Lonchura striata: one gene and its partner. The protein of the gene in region 1 interacts with the protein of each later gene in a biochemical or structural test. Links are inferred from orthologs where the notes say so. Each region holds a gene or a part of one and is shown in the gene's direction. Other genes may lie near its edges.

Region 1 (10,131 bases):
ACCTAAGACAGGAGAAAGAATTTAAGTATATTTTTTAAAATCAAACACTAAAGAGTTCAGCCTTTACACAAGTCATTACTTAGTCACAGTCCTATCGTCAGCAAATTAAAATACTTATTTAAATAGCCAGATTCACGTACATTATTAATCCAGTACAGGAAAAAAAAAAAAAAAAAAAAAAAAAGAATGAGCACCAAACTTAATACTGACAATAATTAAAAATTAATTCATAATACTAAAAGGTCACATAGAAATATAAATAGAGTCCTGGAAAGCACAAGTTTCCTTTAAAAGTTGACATGAAAACGTAATATAAGAAAAATATGTTTCTACAAACTAAAAGGTCAGCTTTTAGTGGAGCGTTCCTGGAACTGAAGTACGACCTCACTGATTCTAAAGATTGCAGAAGAATGTTTCTGGAATGAGTGAGAAAGTCAGGCCCTCAAGCATCTCTAATCTTTTTTAGTAACAACAAGCAAATGGATTTTCTGTGGTTTTCACAGTTCTTTTGGGTGGACTACAGAAGGGATAAAACAAGCTTTGCCGAGAAAGCAGCAGAGGGTAAGTCCCCTCCAGATTTTTATTTTTCTGTATTATTTTGTGCTCACACCTTCTCTTTCACCTTGTGCCCTGCTCCTCTGCCTGCCTTGCTTTGCTTACCCCGTTCCTTTGCTTTCCCAAGCTCCTGCCCCTAAAACCCACACTCAGCATACCGAGTGTAAATAATTGGTACCCATCTCTTCCAACAAAACTCATTGGTCCCCAAACTCTGGCAAAACTGAGCCTCACTCCTCTCCAGCTACTTATCTCCTCAAAGTAGGAATAAAAAGGTTGGATGGGATTTTTCTGAGGTTTCTCATGCTCCCACTGACCCCCCACATACATCTGGTGCTTGATCTCTCCCCTTCCTCGTATTTTGAAAACTGCTGCCCACATACATCTGGTGCTTAATCTCTGCCCTTCCTCATATTCTGAAAATGGCTGGCTAAACTGAATCAATGGCTCTTTGAGGAATCTTGTCTTCCAGGTGCTTAAAGAGAAGTCAGTTGATTGAAAAAAAAACCCAAAAACAACCCAAACCAACAACAAACCACTGTGGTTTGAGAAAGATCCCTTTGTTAAAAAAAATGTAAAAGATAAATGAAACCCCAGGATGCTTGCAAGACATCATGGGGCTGGCAGTTTACCTATGTAAACTCACACCCTGAAGCTAAGGAAGAGACCCCAAATTCCTGGGACCCAAAATTCCTGGGAAACACAGGGCACCAAGGTTTCCTTGGACCTCCTGGGGTTCCATCAGCTTTTCCAGTGTGGGCTCCTTGTCTTTTTGCCACAGGTGTGAGATCCCTGCTCTCAGGCAGGCGTCGTGTCAGGATTTATTTAATGATTTAATCTCCTGAAACTTTCTCCCTGTGGGTGTCACTGCTTGAAGAAAGTATTTAACTACAAAATAAATGTTACACTCCTGGGTTACTGATGCCTTCTTAACTGGGAGGAAGGGCAGGTTTCAGCTGCATGTTATATTATTACATTTCACAGAACACAAAATAATGGGTGTTTCTATTTCCGAGCCTTTTATAAGAAAAGCACTTTGATGTTTAAATGTCAGACATATGAAAAATAGTAATTATTTGGTCATCAGTCCTGTACTATTCTTTAGTGAGGATAAATGCACTTGCTTAAAAAACCCAACAACTTAGCCATGTTTTTTAAGTGATTAATGCCTAAAATTTGTCTATGTTCTGTTCCTGGGACTCCAGGTTCACCAGAATAACCAAAGTGCTTTATCAGTTTGTAATTCTGGATTTTCAGTATGTTGGAAAAAAGGCTAATACAAGTCACTCCCAAATGCACAGGGACCCTCTATTTATGTACCACACCTCTATTTATTTATTTATGTATTTGGGTATTGATTATATTATTTTTTAAACTTTTAACTGAGAAGTGATGCATCTTATTGCCTCATTACTTCTTATTACCTCTTAATCCCTTGTCCAATTAAATATGGTTCTCCTGTCTTTGCAAGCACATTTTATACAGACTTTATTATTTTTTTGAGATCTTGACATTAAGTGAAAATTAATGTGCAATCACCAATATCTTTTCCAGAAACAAGTAATATTAACTCCTGCACTGCAGAACTTGTTGCAAACCTAGGAGAAACCTGACCCCTGGTGTGGGGGAAACCTGGCTGAAAAGGACTTTTTTAAGAGTGTGCAGTGGAAAATCCAGTGAAAGCTGGCCCGGAGTGGAACTGCAAAATGATGGCCCAAGTGGGTACTTGAAGGTGACAAAAGGACCTCAGGCAGGGATGGATTTTGATTGTAAGTTATCATTGAAATTAGTCAATGTGAAATAAAGCAATTGTAGGGCTTGTGTAATTGTGTAATAATTTGACCCAAGTGTCAATATTGAAATGACCTCCTTGTTTTCCAGGCTGTTATTCTGCAATCTTTTCCTCAGGAATATAGTCCTAATTTCTGTAAACCTCATCAGCAAATATATACACAAAAACAACACCCGTTACCATTTTCTATGCTTTTTCCTATTTTGTTTTTTCTTTCAAATTATAAAAAGTCAATGGGCTTTTACAGTTGCTGGATCAGTCATGAAAAAGCCTGATCTGAAGAAAATTTGTTGTATAAAAAAAAATTGGACCATCTAAGAGTTCAGTTTGACAGATAATAGAACATTATAGAAATAGAAAAATGTATCTCTCATTGTTTTTACACTGGGAGTTTACATTTGCAGTGAAACATTGTGCTACATCAGGTTCCAGGATGCTGAGCTCCTAAGAATTCCTTTCTGTACCAGTAAGCTTTAGTATTGGGGAAAATTAAAAATAAAAGGACGCCTTAAACACTTGGTATAATTAATTTATTTCGTGGCTGCTGTCGTGGAAAATTAAAAATAAAAGGACGACTTAAGCATTTGGCATAATCAATTTATTTCAGGGCTGCTGCCGTGGAGTCAGCTGGTTGATTTTCACCTTGACCACTCGTATTTTCCCGGCAGCTCCTGTTTCCTACGAGCTGGTTATTCTGAAACTCAATGCAAGAGAGGCGCACCGATAGCCGGTTTTTTTTTTACTTATTTAGCAGCATTAATGTTTTTGCGGTGACCACAGCGGCTTTCTCCTGGTGCCCTGGGTTGGCGTGGAGGCCGGCTGGACACGGGGCCGTGAGGGAGCTGTGAAGGGGCAGTGAAGGAGCCGTGAGGGGGCACTACGGGCCGTGAGGGGGCCGTGAGGGGCACTGAGGGCAGCGCCACTCCCGCCCCGCCCGCTCCATCCGGGTCTCCGAGCGCGACCGTTACGAGCGTTCGAACCCTGCGCCAGCCAATCAGCGCAGAGCGTGCCCCTCCCGGCAGCCAATCAGCGAAGAGCTCGTCCCCACCCCGGCCACTCAGCAACCTGCGCTTGGTACCGCAACAAGCACTGTGCCCAAGAAACCTCTCACAGCCAATGGGGGCTCGCTCCGCCTGAGTGGCAGTTGTAGCGACCAATCGAAGGGGACAGGGGCGCAGGGCTGGCGAAAAGGAAGGGCAGGTAGGCGGGGCATCTTGCTGCTGTGGCGAATGAGGGAGCGGCTTACGGAGGGGCGGTGGGGCCGTCAGCCAATGGGCGGCGGTGTGAGTGCGGTGGCTCGCTTTTTGAATTGGCGGCGGCCGCTGATGGCGGCGGGCGGCACCGGCGGTGAGGGGGCTCCGGGGCCGGGGGGCGCGGGCTGTCTGGAACGGGGTCGGTGTGTCGGGCATCTGTGGGGCCTCCGGCGCTGCCCCGGGGCTCCTCAGGCCGCCGCCGTGTCAGTGGGCAGGGCGGAGCCCCGGGCCCGGCGGCACCTGCTGGCTCGAGAGGCGGCGGCGGTCCCTCGTCCTGCCCTGTCCCGTCCCGTCCCCGGCCACCTCCCTGCACAGGGCTCGGGAATCTTCCTGGGTGGTTCCTCGGGAAGCGTGGGATGTTTACTGTCCTGTCCTTGCTTTAACAAACATATTTTGGTTTGTGTCCTTCAGGCTTTCAACAAATTATTGCGAGGTAATTTCTGAGTGTGATGCTGTGAGGGTATTAGATTTGCCTGGAGCCTGTAGTGATGTTCTGACTTTTGCTGTTTGTATGAGGGAATACTGTTGTGTTCGTGTCTGTGTGTGCTGTTTGTTCTCCTCTGTATCCTGGCACTTTCAGTCTGTGGGTTTAATGAAAAAATATTGCTGTTATTAAAACAAGAAATGCTTTTAAACACACCCAGGATGGAATCTCAGAAATAAATAAATTAGAAAAATCCATAAAGAAAATCAATACCCAGACCAAGGTCTGGGCTTCTTCAAAATGAAGTTCTTTGTGAGTTCATGGACATTTTACTTGGTATAATAATAACTGTACTGATGTCTCAGACTTCTAGGAAATAATTTCTAGGATTTAAGTTTAGTTGTGTCTCTAACTGGAGGGCTTGTTTTCTTCTGAATTTACATTGTAATTGTCCTTGTGGTAATCATTATTAACAATGTGGTTTGAATCTGCCAAGATTATACCTCCCTCCACTACTGCCAAAAAAACTGGTAGCTGTAGAACTGTTCCTGGTGGTGATAGGTGATTCCCCAAAGACTCTTTATGATTGAGGTCACTCTCTACTCTTGCTCTGAGAAAAATGAGGTGGGTGATTGGGACTTAGGTCTAGGAAACTCAGCTCCAAGGATGTACAGTTGTGTGTGACCTTGAAATTGAAATTAAGGTGGCATGTCTGGTAGCTGAATATGTCTAGAATGATAGATTTGTAAATTGGTTATTGCTCATCACTGTATTAAGAACTTGTGTATTATGAAGATTTGAATCCTTTCCACGAGTCCCAGATGTGATGTCTGGAAGATAAAGTTTTTTCTGTATTGCTGGTATGCCAAAGTGCCCATTGCTTTTTTGTCTTCTGACTTTGCTGTGTAATAGGATGGTCATTACACAATTTAAAAAATAGTATGTGCTGTTCTCTAGGGGTTTTACTGCCTCAAGAGCCCTCTTTCAGACAATGCTCTAGTGGGTTATTTTAGTAGCTGCTGGTTTAAAAGGGCACACACAGTCACAAGAACGATTTCAGTTCAAGTGCTACAAAGGGTTATTATCGACAGCAGCTCAGCTGTAGCTGCTGCTCTGATCAAGGTAACTCCTGATCTCACTGTGCAAACAATGAAATCTGGGTGTGTGCTGAATCACAGGAACTGCAGCCTGCCTGCCTCGTGTGTGACCGAAAATGGGCAGGTGTCTGAGAGCAATCTTTGTGCTGCAGGATTTGGGTAGGTAGCTCCCAGAAAATGAGAGGGTTAAGGATTCTGCCTTTCCAGTAGGTGACAGGTCTGATGGGCAGGGAGAGCACAGATCTGTTCTGTTTGAGAGGAGAGAGAGGCCTCTTTATCTAATAATGAAAGGCTGCTTCTACTCTGTCACAGTTAATGCAGGACAGTAAACCAGACCATGCAGCTAGACATATATGTGCATATCAACTTTGCAAAGAATCTCAAGCTTTTATAATTTTTCTAAGAGTAAATCTGGGTGCTCATTTCTAACCACAGTATTTCTAGCCAGTTCACCTGAAAAATCACTTTTTAGCAAGATGTTATGCTTACCCAAATTCTTCTGCTAGTGTTTCAGATCAGCAATGCTAATTTTAGTCTCAATTGTAGCTTATAATAGTTTGTCACTGAAAGAAACAAGTGCTTTTAGTTTGGTGCTTTGTGGTTAAGGTTCTTTAAATGAGCACTTGAGTTTGTGCTTGCCTGTGCTCAGAGCTGATGAATTACAGAACCATTTCTGTAACAGCTTTGTTGTCAGTCCTTTGTATCAGTTGTGTTCCTCTTGATGCTCTATCAGTGTGAGTAGGATTCAGTAAGAGCCTAAATATTTTGTTTTCTGAAGTCACTTCTGACAGCCTTGGTAATAGAATTCTATGAATGAGCTTTTTCACCTGTAACTGAGCTTGGCCCCTCCACCTTCCAGCTGTTGAAGAAAGAAACAAAGCATAATCATGGCTGACAGCAGTACTCTGGTATCTGAAACCGGGAGGAGCCTCTTGGCTGATTCTTCTGTTCTTGATTCAAAAATTATAGAAACTTCCAAAGAGAATGTATTCCGTGCAACTGTTCTGGATGTTGAAGGTAATGGGGGAAGGTTATTTTAAGACTGCTTGCTTTTTGCAATGACTGATTACTTCATTGGTATTTAGTAGTTTTGAAAAACCAAAAGTACTTTGAACTCCAGAGTGTATATAGAGTAGGGAAAACGGTGTTGATCTGGGATAATTTCATTAAGAAAGTTTGATGTTACAGCCCAAATTGAATGAATTTTCTGGCTATTATACAGAAAGCTGTCAGTTCCATTTGATGCCTCTTCTGTGGAAAAAATCACTCCAGGTGACATTTTGATACCAGTGTTTGGAAATGGCAGCTGCTCGGTTTTGGATAGATTAATACGTATAAGGTAGGGAGGTGAAGAGATTAGTAGTCTTAAACCCAAAATTAATTCAAGAACAAATCTTGAAATTAAGTAACAATCACCAATGTTTTCTTCCAAGGTAGTAGCCAAAAATCTGCTGGTGGTCTGTTGATGTAAATGATGTGGAGGCAATGCTTGTTCTTCCTCCTAATATTTCGAAGCCTTACTAATACCTGTTAAAAAAGAACATCTAATTTCAGTTCTGATGTTCTTGGTAACTGCTCAGTTACCAACAAAGTAATGAACACAGAAACTAGACAAGATACCAGCTGGCTATTTTCCAGCAGATCTCGGTATCTAATTCTGCTAAAAGCATTTAGCCTGTAATTTTTTTGAGTTTTCATTTGCGTGTTTTCTTTCCTCTTCCCTACCCCTTGATTTGTGTTCTTGCTTTGACTGGTCATGAATTGCAGATTCTTGTTTCACCTCATACTTGAAAGTTTGGGCTCTAAGTCAATTTGGTATGCCTTAATTGAAGGACACTCTTCTCGAAGTAACTGTTATTTTCAGGATTGCTCCTGATAAGGAATCTTGAAAGGCTACTTGTATTCTTGTATACATTATTGCTTGATTTTGACATGACGTAGATTTTTCTGCTAAAATACAAATATTATCCTTGCTTCTCTCTAAGCAGAAGAAATGCCTCAAATAGAAACAAGAGTGGTTTTGGTTCAGGAAGCAGGGAAACGTGAGGAGCTTCTCAAAGCCTTGGAGGTATGTGGGCCTGAGATAAAACAGTCACTGGAAGGACATGTTATGCTTTCAGACTTGTTGTAACCAATTTGCTTCTGGACTAAAGTTCTCCTCTTCCACAGACCATTAAGATAATGGAAGTACCTGTTATAAAGATAAAGGAAAGTAGCCCTGATAAATCAGAAGAAAAACTAATAAAAAGTATTATTCATATGGTATGTCATGCAATTCAGCACATGTAATTGCATGCAGCATGTTACACTTCACTGGGACTGAAATGCTTTAATTTGGATTAATTTGGCATAATGGTCATAATATATGCTAATGATTCTGATGGTGTCACAGCTAATCAAAATTAGCACTTTTTAAAAATATGGAGTGATACTTATAGCTCTTATCTAGTGGTGTTTTCTAACAGGGGCATCACAATATCCATGGGTACATCCAGCTGCATGCTTGTGTTCAGTCACACATAAGTTTGTGCTATGAACTGGCTTTGTAATTGTCAATGGATATCTCTTTCAGCTGAAAGCTGCATTCAAACTGAAGTGCAAGAAATGCTTTTCCATTTCTTGATGTGAAAGACATAAGAGATAAAGTTTGGAATTAGTGTTTGAAAATTGAATGGACAAATTTTTTTAACCCCTTAAAAATATAAAGCAATTAACAAAACCTATTTCTGTTCTGTAGGTGCTGTGCAGCATGGAACTTGCTGTTACCAACTGGATGCTGCTTTTTAGTAGCATCCTACAGTACCCTAAGCTGTTCTGACAGTCTGAAATTTCATTTATCTTTTGAGCTTAGGGTGTTTTTTCTATCTAGCTCATTCCAGTGCTACATTGTCAGTGTGAACTGATACATAAACTGCTTAAACAACTGGAATTCTGATTCTTCAAAAGCAGAAATTACTTTGACATTCAGTCGTAAAACATGCAGCAGTTCATAGCTATTCTTATGCTAGAGAAGAGTGCATTGCATTCAGCTTTTACAAATCCTAACTCTGTTTCTGAAATACGAATCACATTTTTCTAATGGTCCAAAATAAACCTTATTTGAATTTTACACTGGTGCAAGTGTGTTGTCTGAATAATGCTTTCCCTTTCACCCCTGTGCCTCAAGGAAATTAAAACACCCTACATAAAGACAGACACGATAGAAGAGCTTGGAGATTCTGATTCCCCGGAATTTGAGACGATCTTCGTCGTGTCCGACTTCCAAGCTCCCGTCTTCAGCAGCCTCTGCAAGGCGGATTGCAGAATCATCGGGCCGCCAGTCCTGCTGCACTGTGCACAGAAAGGAGAGGTGTGTGCTTCCTGCTGCAGTCAGCTCCCTGCTGCACTGAGTTCTGCGAGTTCACAGTAAAATCTCTCTTGCTCTTCCAATCGGTTATAAACATTCCTAGCAAGAGAATTTTAAGAAAAGCAAGTTACTAACGCTGTGTTAGAATATTTTACATAGTGAGAGGGTGCAGTCAGACAGTGGTAGGGCTCTGAGTGCTGCTGAAGTTGTGGGAGTTGTTGATCACCAGTTGGGATTGTGCTGTTAGGAAAGGCAGCATACAAATGAATCTCCAGTAATCACTTTATATTTACAAAAGTTGTAAGGTGGAGCAGATGGATTGGGGAGGAAATAAAAGGATGGAGTACTATCTGTAGAACTTGGGGATGCTCTAATTACTTTATCAGCAGGCCTGGAGCAAAGGTATAACCACAGACCTGGACTAGTGTCTGATGGATTTTTAATATTAGAAATAACAGTAATATATTAAAGGTAATGTGAAAACTTTAATGAGTGCAGTATGCTGTTGACGCATGAGCTTTCTTCTTGTTTACAGCCTTTACCTTTCTCCTGCCGTCCACTGTACTGTGCAAGTATGTTGAACTTGGTACTGTGCTTTACAGGATTCAGAAAGAAAGATGAATTAGTAAGTAATTTATTCTTCTTAGGATTGGTAAAACCATGTTAAATATATTTTCAAGATACTCTTCTGTTCCATCGCCCATAGGGTTTAACCATGGCTCAGGCTTTTATGGGGAGAATAAATTGTTTGTTCTTTTGTTTTTTTTGCAAGTCCAGAGGCAGTGATATTTGAGAATGGGAGCAAAACTTAGTTCAAGTCATTTTATCTGTGTCATTTTTGGTCAATTTTTTGTTTAGTGACATTAAAATGCTGTAATTCAATAGGGCTTAAAGGTTTGTAAGTTGAGGTTTCAGATAAGATGTTTACCCAGTAGTGTCCTCTTTTTTTGTACAGGTGGTAGAATGGGCAAGTAAATCTTTGTAGCTCTGTTCATAGCACTTGCAGGCATGTTATCTTGTCATGATATTGTGCTATCAGGACTTTAGTCTTTGTTTGATACTCTAGGACTTTGCTTTTCCATTTCAGTAGGCACTTGCCATCTAATTTTCCTCCTAGACACCTGGGAATCAACAATATGGCTCCATATCTTCATCAGAAAAAAACCAAATCCAAACCAAAAGCTTTTGCCTGGTATTTGGGTTAGTTAGGTTTGATCTAGAATTGTCTAAATCAGCAAGGAAAATATAAAATTTAACATGTGGGAAAAGGTGAAGGCATTATGTGTGATGATCATGAGACTACTGATGGCTTGGATAGTCTTCAGGCTACACAGCAAGGCTGTACTAAATGTTGAAATAAAAATAAATCATAATAGTTCTTTTGATGTATAAGCCATATCTTCTGTCGATGTGAACAAGTTGTTTTAAGAACAGATCAGAGTATTTCTATTTCTAGACATTTAATATAACCTTCTGTAACTTGCTTTGTAAACCACTTTTTGAACTTGCTCTTCAAAAGATACTTAAAACTTTTCATCTTCATTTTACAGGTTAAACTTGTGACCTTGGTTCATCATATGGGTGGAATTATTCGAAGGGACTTTAGCTCAAAAGTTACTCATCTGGTGGCAAACTCAACACATGGAGACAAATTCAGAGTATGT
Region 2 (11,007 bases), on another chromosome or scaffold:
GCCGGGGGCTGAGCTGCCCTCCCTGGGGATGGCTCGTGCACAAACCCCCTCGATGGACTGGCTTGGAGCTCTGTGGTTATGGGGGCTCTATCATCCCTTCCCCTGTGCTTTTCCCGGCTGTGTCTCCTGGGGCAGATGCACAGGGTGGCTGGAAGTGCCGAGGAGTGTCTGCTCTCCCCACTAGCTGCGCCTCTGACCGTGCAAAACGTGACTATCCCGAGGGCAGAGCATGGTCTGCCCTTGTCTCACTGCTGAGAGAAACTAGGAGAGAAAGTGCAGCAGCTCCTCTGTTTAAAAGTGAATTTTAACTCGGCTTGAAAGACCACAGACCCATTACCTGGAGCCTCTGGGGCGGCTCTGCCCTGTCCCCCAGCCGTGCAATGTCTGATCAGTGACACAAGAGACTTTCCAGTGGAAATGCCTGCCCGGAGGCAGCGCTCAGCTCAGGCAGCCCGAGGATGTGGATGTGCTGGTTTGCCCTCTTGGTGCCTCTGCTCTGCTCCCCTTCAGCTGAGCTAATAAAGTTTGGACTCGTTAAATCCACAAATGGTTTCAAAGTCGATTGCCCTGGGCTGGCTCGCAGCTCCCGCCCACCCTTCCCCTCGCTGCTCTGCCGGGGAGATAAGGATGGCAGTGGCTTTAATTCCTCACTTATGCATCGACTGCCAATTCTCCTGTCCGCTCACCCTTGATAAATATTGCACAAAGATTTGGCGGCCAGCGTGCCAGAGATAAAGGTCCGGTCCCACCAGATCTCCTTCCTCTGTGCCTTTTGTCTCGTTATGTGTCCAATTTGTTGAACAACCCACCTGCTGCAAGAGGCTCTTCCCATCCCCACTGCTGCCTCGGATTATTGCTAAACCTCTGTGTGAGCCTCCAGCCTGGGCTGGGAGCTGAGGATGGGGAAAGGCGCTGTCATTTCCAGGCCTTGAGCTGTCATTGATCGGGGATCAATAGCGGAGCTGCCTTGGCTCAGCTCTCCAGGCCTGGCAGGATCCTCGTCGCTGGCGTCATGTTGGGACTGAGGTGCTGCCGTGTCATCTGTGAGCCCATCCCTGGGAGCAGAGCCCAAGCCAGGATTTGGGGATGCTCCTGTTCAGCAAACATACAAAAGAGAGTGTGCCAGGGGTTCTGGCAGGGTTTAGCCTTGCTAAAAACCCACTTTGCACGTGGGAGCTGGGTGAGCACGGTGTGGGGTGCCAGGAGCTGTTGGGACCATGTCACTGGGAACTGTGTCACCGCTGTGTCTCTGCTGGAAGTGCCTCCCCCAGCTCAGAAACCCTTGAGGGGCTAAAAGCTGCTGCTGTTGGGGGTGCACAAATATCTTAGGAAGATGTGTCACCGATGGGGTCGTGGCACAGGGAAGGTGCCCAGCGCTGCTGTCTCTGCAGGACCATGCAGAAAACAGCAATGATGCTGCAGCTCCTGCCCAAGCCTCAAATTTCAGTGCTGCTGGAGGTGAGGGCACAGGCAGAGGCCATTGATTGGGGTGGAGAGGGAGAAACAGGAGGGAAGGTCTCACAGAAACCCGAGTATGAGTATAGATCTGGTTGGTGGCATGCTAGAGCTGATATCCTCCCTTTGCATCCTCATCCTGAGTGTTGTCTCTCTTATGAGAATCTCAAAGTAAAGAAGAGACGAGTGTTGCTGAGGTCTGGATGCCTTTGAGCTCAATGTGGCACATAAGTCTGTTATTCCTGCTGGAAGAGCAGCTGTCCCAGGCAGCTCCAGGTGCTATTTAGCTTCCAGGTCTCTGGACTCTGCAGTTTGGCAGTGGCTCTGACAACATGCCTTGATCACTATCGTTTTTAAATCCATGAGAAATGTCATTCTGAAGTGCAACAAATAACGGTCTGATTATCTGCTGGATCCTAATGCTACTCCCTGGAGATAACAAGCTGCAATTTTCCCCCTGGGCCATACAATAATCGCCCCAATTACTCCCAAGCAGTGGTTATTAAACTCATGGCACCGCTTTGGTTTACAAAGCAAAAATCATTAAGCAGGTGTGTGTGTGTGTGTGTGTTTGTTTGCTGTTTGGCTGGGAGTGACCGAGGTTGTTCTTGTTTTGTTCTGGGAGAGGAACTCCTGGTGGCTGTGGAAAACCTCCATGGCTTTCCCGCTCTGTGTGGCACAGTTCTGTCAAGAGCCTCCGGATGATCGACCAAATAAAATGCAGTTGGTGTCTGTTAATGCTGGGCCAGGTATCCCGGAGGATGTAACCTCTCTCCAAGTGTAACGTGGAGGGATTTAGGGAGATAGTGTGGTTAGCACAGCTGGGATGTGATGGGCATCTCAAACACAGCCCCGGCCCTGGCAGGAGCGGGCGTGCTGCTGTGCCTTGGATGGATTGCAGGTGTGACTGCAGGGTGACACCAGTGTCCCATGCCAGCACAGGTGTCACCCACAGCTCCATCAGCCTCCAGGCAGAGGGCACAAGGTCCCTTTACCTTTGTCCCAACAAGACCCATGCTGTCAGGGAGATTTGATGTGTCTCTGCACACAAACACACGATGGCTCGCTCGGACATGGAGCTTCCAGCTGCTCAGGGAGAACAGAGCGAGCAAGAGGAGGGAGGGATGACCAGGACAGGGAGGCAGGCTGGTGAATTATGCATGACTCCAGGAGGGGAGCGTTATCTGCATGGACAAAGGCCTGTGCCAGCAGCCTGGCTCCGCTGTACCTGTGCCTTCCTTCGCCCGCGCTTTATCTCCGCTCCCAGCTTGTAATTCAGCCCAAATATCAGAGGAAGCTGGAAGATTAATTTTCTCTGTTTGCATGGCAAAGGAGAGGGGACACGCTCTCACTCCCGACTCCCAGCTGTTTAATCCTCCACCAAGGCCTGCCGAAGGAAAAGGCAAAAATTTATCAGTGTTGGCAAGTCGCTGGTGTGGGGAGGGGTGTTGGAGCCCGGGGCCCCCCACAAGCAGGTCGTGGGCACTCACAGCAGGCTTCATGTGTGGGTAGGGTTTGGGGGGCACTGAGAAAATGCAAACCCTTCCCTGCTCCCAGCATTTGGGTCCAGAGGAGGGTGTGGGCTTGGGAGAGCCGGAGTCAATGAGTCCCTCCGGCGTGGGAGCGTTCATGGCTGTGAGTCGCTCAAATATTTAAGAGATGACAACTGTATTAATACAAAAACTAGATAAAGATCCCTTGAGTTTAAAGACAGAACCATCAGCTCAGCTTTTATTTCCCAGCCCTCTCCCTTAGCTTACTCCCCGGCTTAAATGAAATCATAAATATCGGCCCACAGAGGTCCTTTGTCACCGCACGCAGCTCCCGGCGACAAGAGGTCATTCATTAAAAGCCAGATGAAGGCAATAGAGACTCCCTTTGTTTTTTAAGGAGTTCAGGGTAAGGCCGTGGCTTCTCTGCTGGCATTAATGCACCGGTGGGTTTGGCTCATCCCATCCAAGTGATCTTCACCCCAAAGTTGATGAAAGAAACATCCCGGGTTCTCTCAGGTGGGACATCACAGATGAACCTGGTTTGTTGCTGGACTGATGGCAAAACCAGAGCCCCTTTTTCCCCCTCCTCACAGACCCCATGGTCTCATCATCCCCCTCCCCACAGACCCCATGGGCTCCTTTATCCCCTCGTTACAAACCCCATGGGCTCCTCATTCCCCTCCTGCCAGCCCCCGTGGGTGATGCTCTGGCCACATTTTGCCCAGCTGAGGGATGGCCGAGGCCCTGCAGCTCCCACCCAGCACATGAGCCTGATGCCATCTGCCGGCCTCTGGCTCTGGCCAGCCAGGAGAAATCAGAAATTAATTCTCTAAAAGGTCCATCTCCCTCTGGCTAAACTCCAACTGCCCCCCCTGCCCAGCCTGATGGATTTTTTCCTCACACTACTGAACAACTCCTTTTTAACACCCCTGCTGTATGAATGAACCAAGAGAAATGCACCTAAGATAATTTCCCCCCATTTTTTTTCCCTGGAGAAAGGTTGCTGTCTTAAAGTTTCTCATTCCCCTCGCTTCCCCCTGCCTTTTTATTTTTTGAATGACTGTTTATGAAGACCATCGTGGTCTAACTGGTTTTGGATTAAAAGGAACTTAATAAAGGTTTCCCCTGTGCACAAAGCTGCACAAATGGGTTTGCAATTGCAGAGTTAATTACAGGAGCTGGGCAGAGCAATCGGTGTTTGCAAAGCTTCACCAGAGGATGAGGCTGGCAGGGAGAGGTTTGGCTTTGCTCTTTGCGCACACTGCGAGGCACTGGGGCAGGTTTCCTTCCATTTTCCCCAAAAATTGAGGAATGGGGTCACCAGGGAATGCCACTGGCATCAGCACCAATCCTGGTGACATCCTGGGGTCTCATCCCAGGGTCACATTCCGGGCTCAGCCGGTGTTGCCCAGAGAAGGGTCTGGGGTGGCTGGAGGAGAAAGGGCTGAAGAGCAACCCAGCGAGGCTGAGGGAGGAGCTGGAGGAGAATTTCTGCTGCCTGAGAATGTGAAGTGCTTCCGCCAGTAATCGCCGGAATCATCAAATTAGCATAAATTCTATTAACGGTTTCCCAGATGAGACATTTCAAGGCTTCTCCCCCCCTCTTCCTGACACAAACAAAAAGAGAATATAATTACTTTGCCATAAAGCAGCTCCTGAAAAGGCCCTCAGTCCTTCTGCCTTTCTTCTCCTGTGGAATAAAGCTCCAAAGGAAAGGTGCTGCTGATCTCTGTGCTCTCATCATTCATCAACCAAGGAGGAGGAAAGAAACTCCACAATGGTTTTAGAGCCTGGGCCTGAGAGCAGGGGCCCATTTGCCAGGTCCACAGCACAGGTTGGGGCAGTTCTGAGAAGCTTTTTGGGGTGCTCAGATCCTGCTGCCCTCCCGATTCAGAGGGAGGACGATGGTGGAACACATATGGAAGAAATGCAATTTGTGTAACACAAGCCCAGCACCTACTGCAGTAACGCACAACAAGCACCGCGGGGGCAATAATCTAAAATAATGTGCTTTTTTTTTTTTATTGGCACGAGATTGCGGATGACGATTTGAAAGAGAACAGAATTTGCTTATGAGCAAAAAGCCTCCTTAACTCTTCAGAACGACACTAAAACAACTCGCCTGCCTATAAATACAATCTGCCAATAGAGGCATCTTAGCTGTGAAGATTTAATTACAGGCAGGAGCTGCAGGAGACTCGGGGCTGAAGCAGCCGAGCCTCATCACAATTGGGGGGATGTACCTGCACAGAGCCAGGTGTAACTGTCAACCTCCAACTTCAGGGGCAAATTGGGATTTTGGGTGATTTCCTGGACTAAAAGTTAATACGTCAAGGTCAGGACCTTTCTCTCGCTTGGCCATTGGCTCTGAGGATGAGTTGTGTCTCTTCTAGGCCTCAGTTCCCCTATAAATGTGGATAATTTTGGCTCTCTTCTTCAAGGAAGCCTCAGTAACATTTACTTTCCCAAAGATCCTAAGGCTTTTTACAATCTATTACAAATTAATTATTATTAAGTTAAAACAAACTATATACCCTAAATAAAGCAGTTCCAACAAAGCAGCTGGATGATGAGAGCAATCTGCTTTACAAACTCCCTTTTCCACTGCGCAATTTTCAGCATTTAGTTCCGCTTTCTAATTGCTAATATCCATTCTTCAATTACCCGCTGTTTTGTTTCAGATTTAAAAGATTAAAGCACGTTGTTATTTTATGATTATGTGAATTCCCTTTGTGTAATTGTTGGGTTTGGGTTTTATCTGTTTGCATATTAAACGCCTGCACAGGGAAGAGTCATACGTGGCTTGAAATGGGTTTTGCCTTTGGCGCAAGTTGCCGGCTGTTACTCAAATCAAAGTTTGGAGACGAGGAGCAGGCAAAGCATTGTATTTCTCAAGTGACAGCACCCCATAAACAGCCTCACGGTGAATTTCAACGTTCTCCCGCTGCACCCAGCCCCTTGCCCTGACCCTTTGCAGAACCAGCACGGGGCGCTCAGGCCCACACGAGCCCTGCGCCCGTGGCTTTGCTGGAAATAACAACCCGGTTTGGCCTGAGAAGGGCTTTTCCTGCCCCGAACAGCCCCTCTGGAGCGGTGGGCACGGAGCAGGCCCAGGCCTGAGGGTCCCGGGCCCTCCCGGCGTCCCCGTTGCTAAGCAACGAGCGCTGGCACCATCCGCCATCACAAAATATGGCACCTGGGCGGCTTCAGCGCGCGGGCAGCCGCGCCCCGCCGGGCAGGCAGACCGCGCCCTCAGCAGACATGGCACCGGGCTGGCTTCAAGGAGCCCACTGAGCGCAGCCAACGAGAGGCAGGGGGAGGGGACGGGGGGAGCCGGGGCGCGCGGCGATTGGCTGGCGGCGCGGATTCAAACCGGAGCGCGGGGCCGTTGGGGCTGCGCGCGCCGCTGGGGCCGGAGCCGCGGCCCGGGCGCCGGAGCCTGAGGGGAGCCTGAGGGGCTCGGGTGAGTGCGGGGACCGGCTGGGAGGAACCGGGGGCTCGGGGGAGCCTGAGGGGCTCGGGTGAGTGCGGGGACCGGCTGGGAGGAACCGGGGGCTCGGGGGAGCCTGAGGGGCTCGGGTGAGTGCGGGGACCGGCTGGGAGGAACCGGGGGCTCGGGGGAGCCTGAGGGACTCGGGTGAGTGCGGGGACCGGCTGGGAGGAACCGGGGGCTCGGGGGAGCCTGAGGGGCTCGGGTGAGTGCGGGGACCGGCTCGGAGGAACCGGGGGCTCGGGGGAGCCTGAGGGGCTCGGGTGAGTGCGGGGACCGGCTCGGAGGAACCGGGGCTGAGGGGACTGCGGGGCATCCTGAAGGCTGAGGGGGGCCCTGGGGGGAAGGATCCCGGGCCCGCCCAGGCCCTTCCATCCCGGCGCTGTCGCAGCCCCGGCCGCCCGGCTCGGAGGGCGCTGTACGGGCCGGGCTGCTCCCGTCCCTGCGGCCTCGGGGGTCGCGGTGATGGTGGTGATGGTGATGCTGGTGATGATGGTGATGCTGGTGCTGGTAATTGAGGCACCGAGCTGGGCGTGCCCCGCGCTGTGCGTTCGCACGACGGGGGCAGAGCTTTTCCTCTCGCCTCGTATTGCACCTATTAAAGTATCGAGGTGTTGATGCCCCTGTGAAGTCTGTACCTGTGGAACAGGTACCCCAAAGCCTTCTGTGCTGGCAGGTTTATGTGCCCTGCACCTCTCCCAAGCCTTCCAGCACTCGCTCATTTCCCAGCCCCTGGTGCCCTGCCTGCTCCTCTCTCATTTGTGAAATCATTTCTGTCTTGCTGAGCTGGAGACTTTCCCCTTCGCTGCCTCTGTTTATGCCGTTGTTGCTGCTGTTTGGGAGAAATGTGCTGACTGGTTGAATTTTAACAGCTATTTGCAGGAGGAGCTGTAAGTTAAAATGCAGCTAAATATAAAACTGTATTAAAATTCCCCGGAATGTTGCTCCTATTTTTATCTTACAAAGTGCTGAAAACTTGCAGGTTTTTAGTGGCCTAGATAGTACCAAGTTATTTGTGGGCAGGGCATGGGCTGTGTTCTGTAACCTTTCTGAAGGGAAGGACTTGGGATCCCTCATCTTGCCTTGGGTTGTGAGTGTCTCTGCTGTGCCGCGGGACAGTGGAAGCACTAAGGTGGGCAGATCTGCCTCTCTCCAAGGCTCTGTTATCCATAAACCGTGGAGGGCTGTAGATTTTCATTCCCAATGAGAAAAAGTAGATGCATATATCTCCATAAAACATGAATTTTGTTTGTGCAGCTTCTCAAACCCGCCTGAAAGCATTACAACCAGTAACTCTGAGGCTGGTTCTCTTTCCTTTGGGCTGGTTTCTGCTCGGAGGTGGGAGGGAAGGGTTGAGCTGCTTGTTCAGCTGTGTTTTTTTGGCAGGAGGATGGAGATTGCCATGGTGAACCTGCGGGGTCTGTACGAGCATCTCACGCGCCAGGCCGAGCTTCTGAGCGAAGGAAACGAATGCCGTGAGTTTTGTCCCTGAAGAATCTGCTGAAGATGCTAAAACCAGACTGATCTGGGCTCTTCCTTTGTGGAGAAACATCAAGTCCCAGCTGAATTTCCATGCAGGGTCACGTTCTGCTTGTAGCAAACTGGCTTTGTCCTGTGTTCCAGCTCTTCTGGGTGGTGCTGAAAGGAAGAAAAAAATGAGAAATGGAAGAGCTCATGGCCATCTCTTGTGTGGCTGGCTTCTCCATGCCTCAGTTGGGAGCAGGAGGAAGAATGTCTTCCTGGAAAAGCCAGTTGGGGATTGGAGGGGTCTGCCCAGGGAGGTTTGGACACATCCCTGGAGGTGTCCAAGGAATGGCTGGACGTGGTGCTGTGGGCTGGGTGACAAGGTGGGGATTGGGTCTTTTCCAACCTCAGGAATCCAGGGATTCTTTGTGAAGCTGCTGTTAGCTGCTCCTCTGCTTGCCCAGCTAAGGCTTCATGTGCTTTCTCCTCAGAGTTTATTCAGTTAGCCAAGAACTTTGAGGAGAACCGGAGGAAATGGCAGAAAATAGAGGAGGAGCTCAGCAGGTGCAAAGATCGCCTCATGAAGACAGAAGCTGAACGCAGTGCCCTGGACGTGAAACTGAAACATGCCCGCAATCAGGTGGACGTGGAGATCAAAAGGAGGCAAAAAGCTGAAATGGACTGTGAGAAGCTGGTGAGTAATTCCTGTGTTACCCCTCAGCTCTTGAGAGTGTGGAGACAAGGCGATTAAACTGCACTGATCAGTGGCAAATAAGGACTGGCACCCATGGGGAGGAAAGGAAAACTAAAAAGCAAGGAATTGGCTCGGCTCCTCGGAGCAGCCTGCTGCTTTGATCTGGGAAAGGAGACTGGCTGCTGATGGAACCTAGCTGCCATTACCTGTCTGCAGCCATTAGCAGTCCATTGACACAAGTTCTGAGAGCTTATCTCGGCTATCTCAAGCGCTGGGTCGGGTCTTACAGTAATTAAACACGGTGTATCCAGCTGCTGATATTATCTTTGTTTGAAGGAGAGGCAAATCCAGCTGATTCGGGAGCTGCTCATGTGTGATGCCTCCGGCAGCATCCAGCTCAGCGAGGAGCAGAAGTCTGTCCTCGCCTTCCTGAACAGGCCACAGGCTTCAGTGGGAAGTGCAGGCAACAAAAGGTAGGGAAACAGCATTTCATCTGAAGTGTCAGGCATCAATCCAGCTGTCGGCCCCTGTGACACATCCTGCACCCATGTCAGCAGTTTCCCTTTTTGTTCCACTTTAAAATACGGCTCTTCTGAGTCAGTGGGATTGTTCTGGAACCGTGACTGACTGAAAGCCAAACTGATACAAGCTTCTTCTAATTTGTGTTTTTTTAGGCTGTCTACAATAGATGAATCTGGCTCAATTCTGTCAGACATCAGCTTTGACAAGAGCGATGACTCACTGGTAATGTAACTCCATTTCTCAAGTTCTCCTCCCCTGTAAAGCCCGAGGGGAGGGGGTTGATCTCCAGAGACCCTTTGTGTTTAGATTACTGGGATATTAACCTGGCTGAGCTGATTTGCATTTCCGAGCCTGCTGTTGGCTAAAGTTTGATGAAAGCCCTGGCCAGGGGCTGTGTGGTATTTACCATTAACCAATGCTGTGTCTTTCCCCCAGGACTGGGATTCTTCGGTGGTGAAAGCTGTCAGGCTGAAGAGGCGAGAGAAGCGGGTATTGTTCAATTGTTCCTGTCACATAGTTTCCATTGTTCCCCCTGGCTGCCACAATGCCACCATCTGTCACCTCACAGCCACCTGTAGTGACCTCTGAGCCACTGAAAACAGACCTTGTGCTCCTACTGTGGGGGTTTAGATTGAAATTTAGGTCTGAAGTCATTTGTTTACTGAAAATAAGTGGAGTTTAGTATATCCTGTGCTGTTACAGTCTGGGGTTTGCAAGAAAACACTCGGAGATTATTAACAGCTCCCAGATTAGGGGAAAATGGTGTAGGAAGCTACATTTTTCTATTTTGTAAAGGAGCTTGTGCTCATTCTGCTTTAATCTGCAGAAGATACAGGTGAGAAAGAGCATGAAACCATCACCTAGTGGAGCTGGGAAGAGTCTGGGACTTGCTTAATTGCTGGTTTTTTTTGTGTGTAGTTCATGGGTTTGTTGGGGCTTTTTTGTCCTCCTTCCTTAGGTCCAGTTTCTTTTTTTTCTGATCTGAATGATGAAGCTGGCTAGGAAAATTATTTGAAAGAGTTTCACTAATTCTTCTGGCACCTCCAAGGTTGCCATGAAGCAGTACCCCTGAAGGACTTGTCAGCACACACCACAGATGCATGAAGTGTTCAGTCCTTCTAGCCATCCTGGGCCAGTGTAATGCCAAGTGAACAGCATTCCTGCTTTGAGAAAAGAATGTGCTCTCTTTTCAGCGCTCTTCCAGGCAGTTTGCTGAAGGCCCCCCAGCTCCTCAGAAGAAATCCAGATCTATCAGCAACACAGCAGACCAGGTATGGTGGTCACAGCTGGCTTCGTGTACACCTGGTCACAGTTCCTGCCTCTTTCCGGGGCCACAGCAGTTCTGTCACTGGTGTATTTGTCATTCCAGGCTAATGAATCCATAGTAGCAAAGACCACTGTGATGGTCCCCAACGATGGTGGCCCAATTGAAGCCATTTCTACCATCCAGACAATGCCTTACCCTCGGAGGAGCCGGAGGAAGAGTGGTAGGTGTAACATCCCTGTCCTGTCCTGACACATCTACACAGGTTATCCTGAAATGTTTGTTATTCCTGCCAGGACCTGGGAACTGCTTCTAATTTATGATGCTCATGTGTCTGGGGGCAGAGGGTGATTCCAGCCTCTTCCTCTTGTGTCTTCCAGGTCCTCTGCAGCCCTGGAACAGTGAGTCCAGCATAGGCAGTAAGCAGCTGGAGTCCAAGCTGGACACTGATGGCTCCAGCACCCCACAGCACAACGGGGGAGTGAGACTGCACGACTTTGTTTCAAAAACGGTGGGTCTACAGCAGGAGGAGCTTAGAAAAGCATCTCCTTCCTTCTTGAAATGTGTATGATAAGAGGCTGCCAGCTGTATCAAAGGAGGTTTAGGTTGGATATTGGAAAAAGTT

Evidence for each region.
Region 2: the proteins of ECT2 (region 1) and RACGAP1 form a complex in vitro, tested with the Homo sapiens proteins (3 studies listed by BioGRID and IntAct, with this or other methods). The link is inferred for Lonchura striata from reciprocal best matches to the Homo sapiens genes ECT2 and RACGAP1.

What each region holds. Positions count from the first base shown.
Region 1 is NC_134612.1:22,323,216-22,333,346, reverse strand, and holds the start of ECT2 (protein ECT2), read left to right. Parts: upstream 1-5,998; 5' UTR 5,999-6,008; coding exon 6,009-6,138; intron 6,139-7,109; coding exon 7,110-7,189; intron 7,190-7,290; coding exon 7,291-7,383; intron 7,384-8,287; coding exon 8,288-8,470; intron 8,471-9,002; coding exon 9,003-9,092; intron 9,093-10,017; coding exon 10,018-10,125; intron 10,126-10,131. UniProt on the Homo sapiens protein: Guanine nucleotide exchange factor (GEF) that catalyzes the exchange of GDP for GTP. Promotes guanine nucleotide exchange on the Rho family members of small GTPases, like RHOA, RHOC, RAC1 and CDC42.
Region 2 is NC_134629.1:8,760,651-8,771,657, reverse strand, and holds the start of RACGAP1 (rac GTPase-activating protein 1), read left to right. Parts: upstream 1-6,352; 5' UTR 6,353-6,411; intron 6,412-7,824; 5' UTR 7,825-7,828; coding exon 7,829-7,913; intron 7,914-8,393; coding exon 8,394-8,596; intron 8,597-8,932; coding exon 8,933-9,069; intron 9,070-9,270; coding exon 9,271-9,340; intron 9,341-9,553; coding exon 9,554-9,607; intron 9,608-10,311; coding exon 10,312-10,389; intron 10,390-10,487; coding exon 10,488-10,605; intron 10,606-10,762; coding exon 10,763-10,893; intron 10,894-11,007.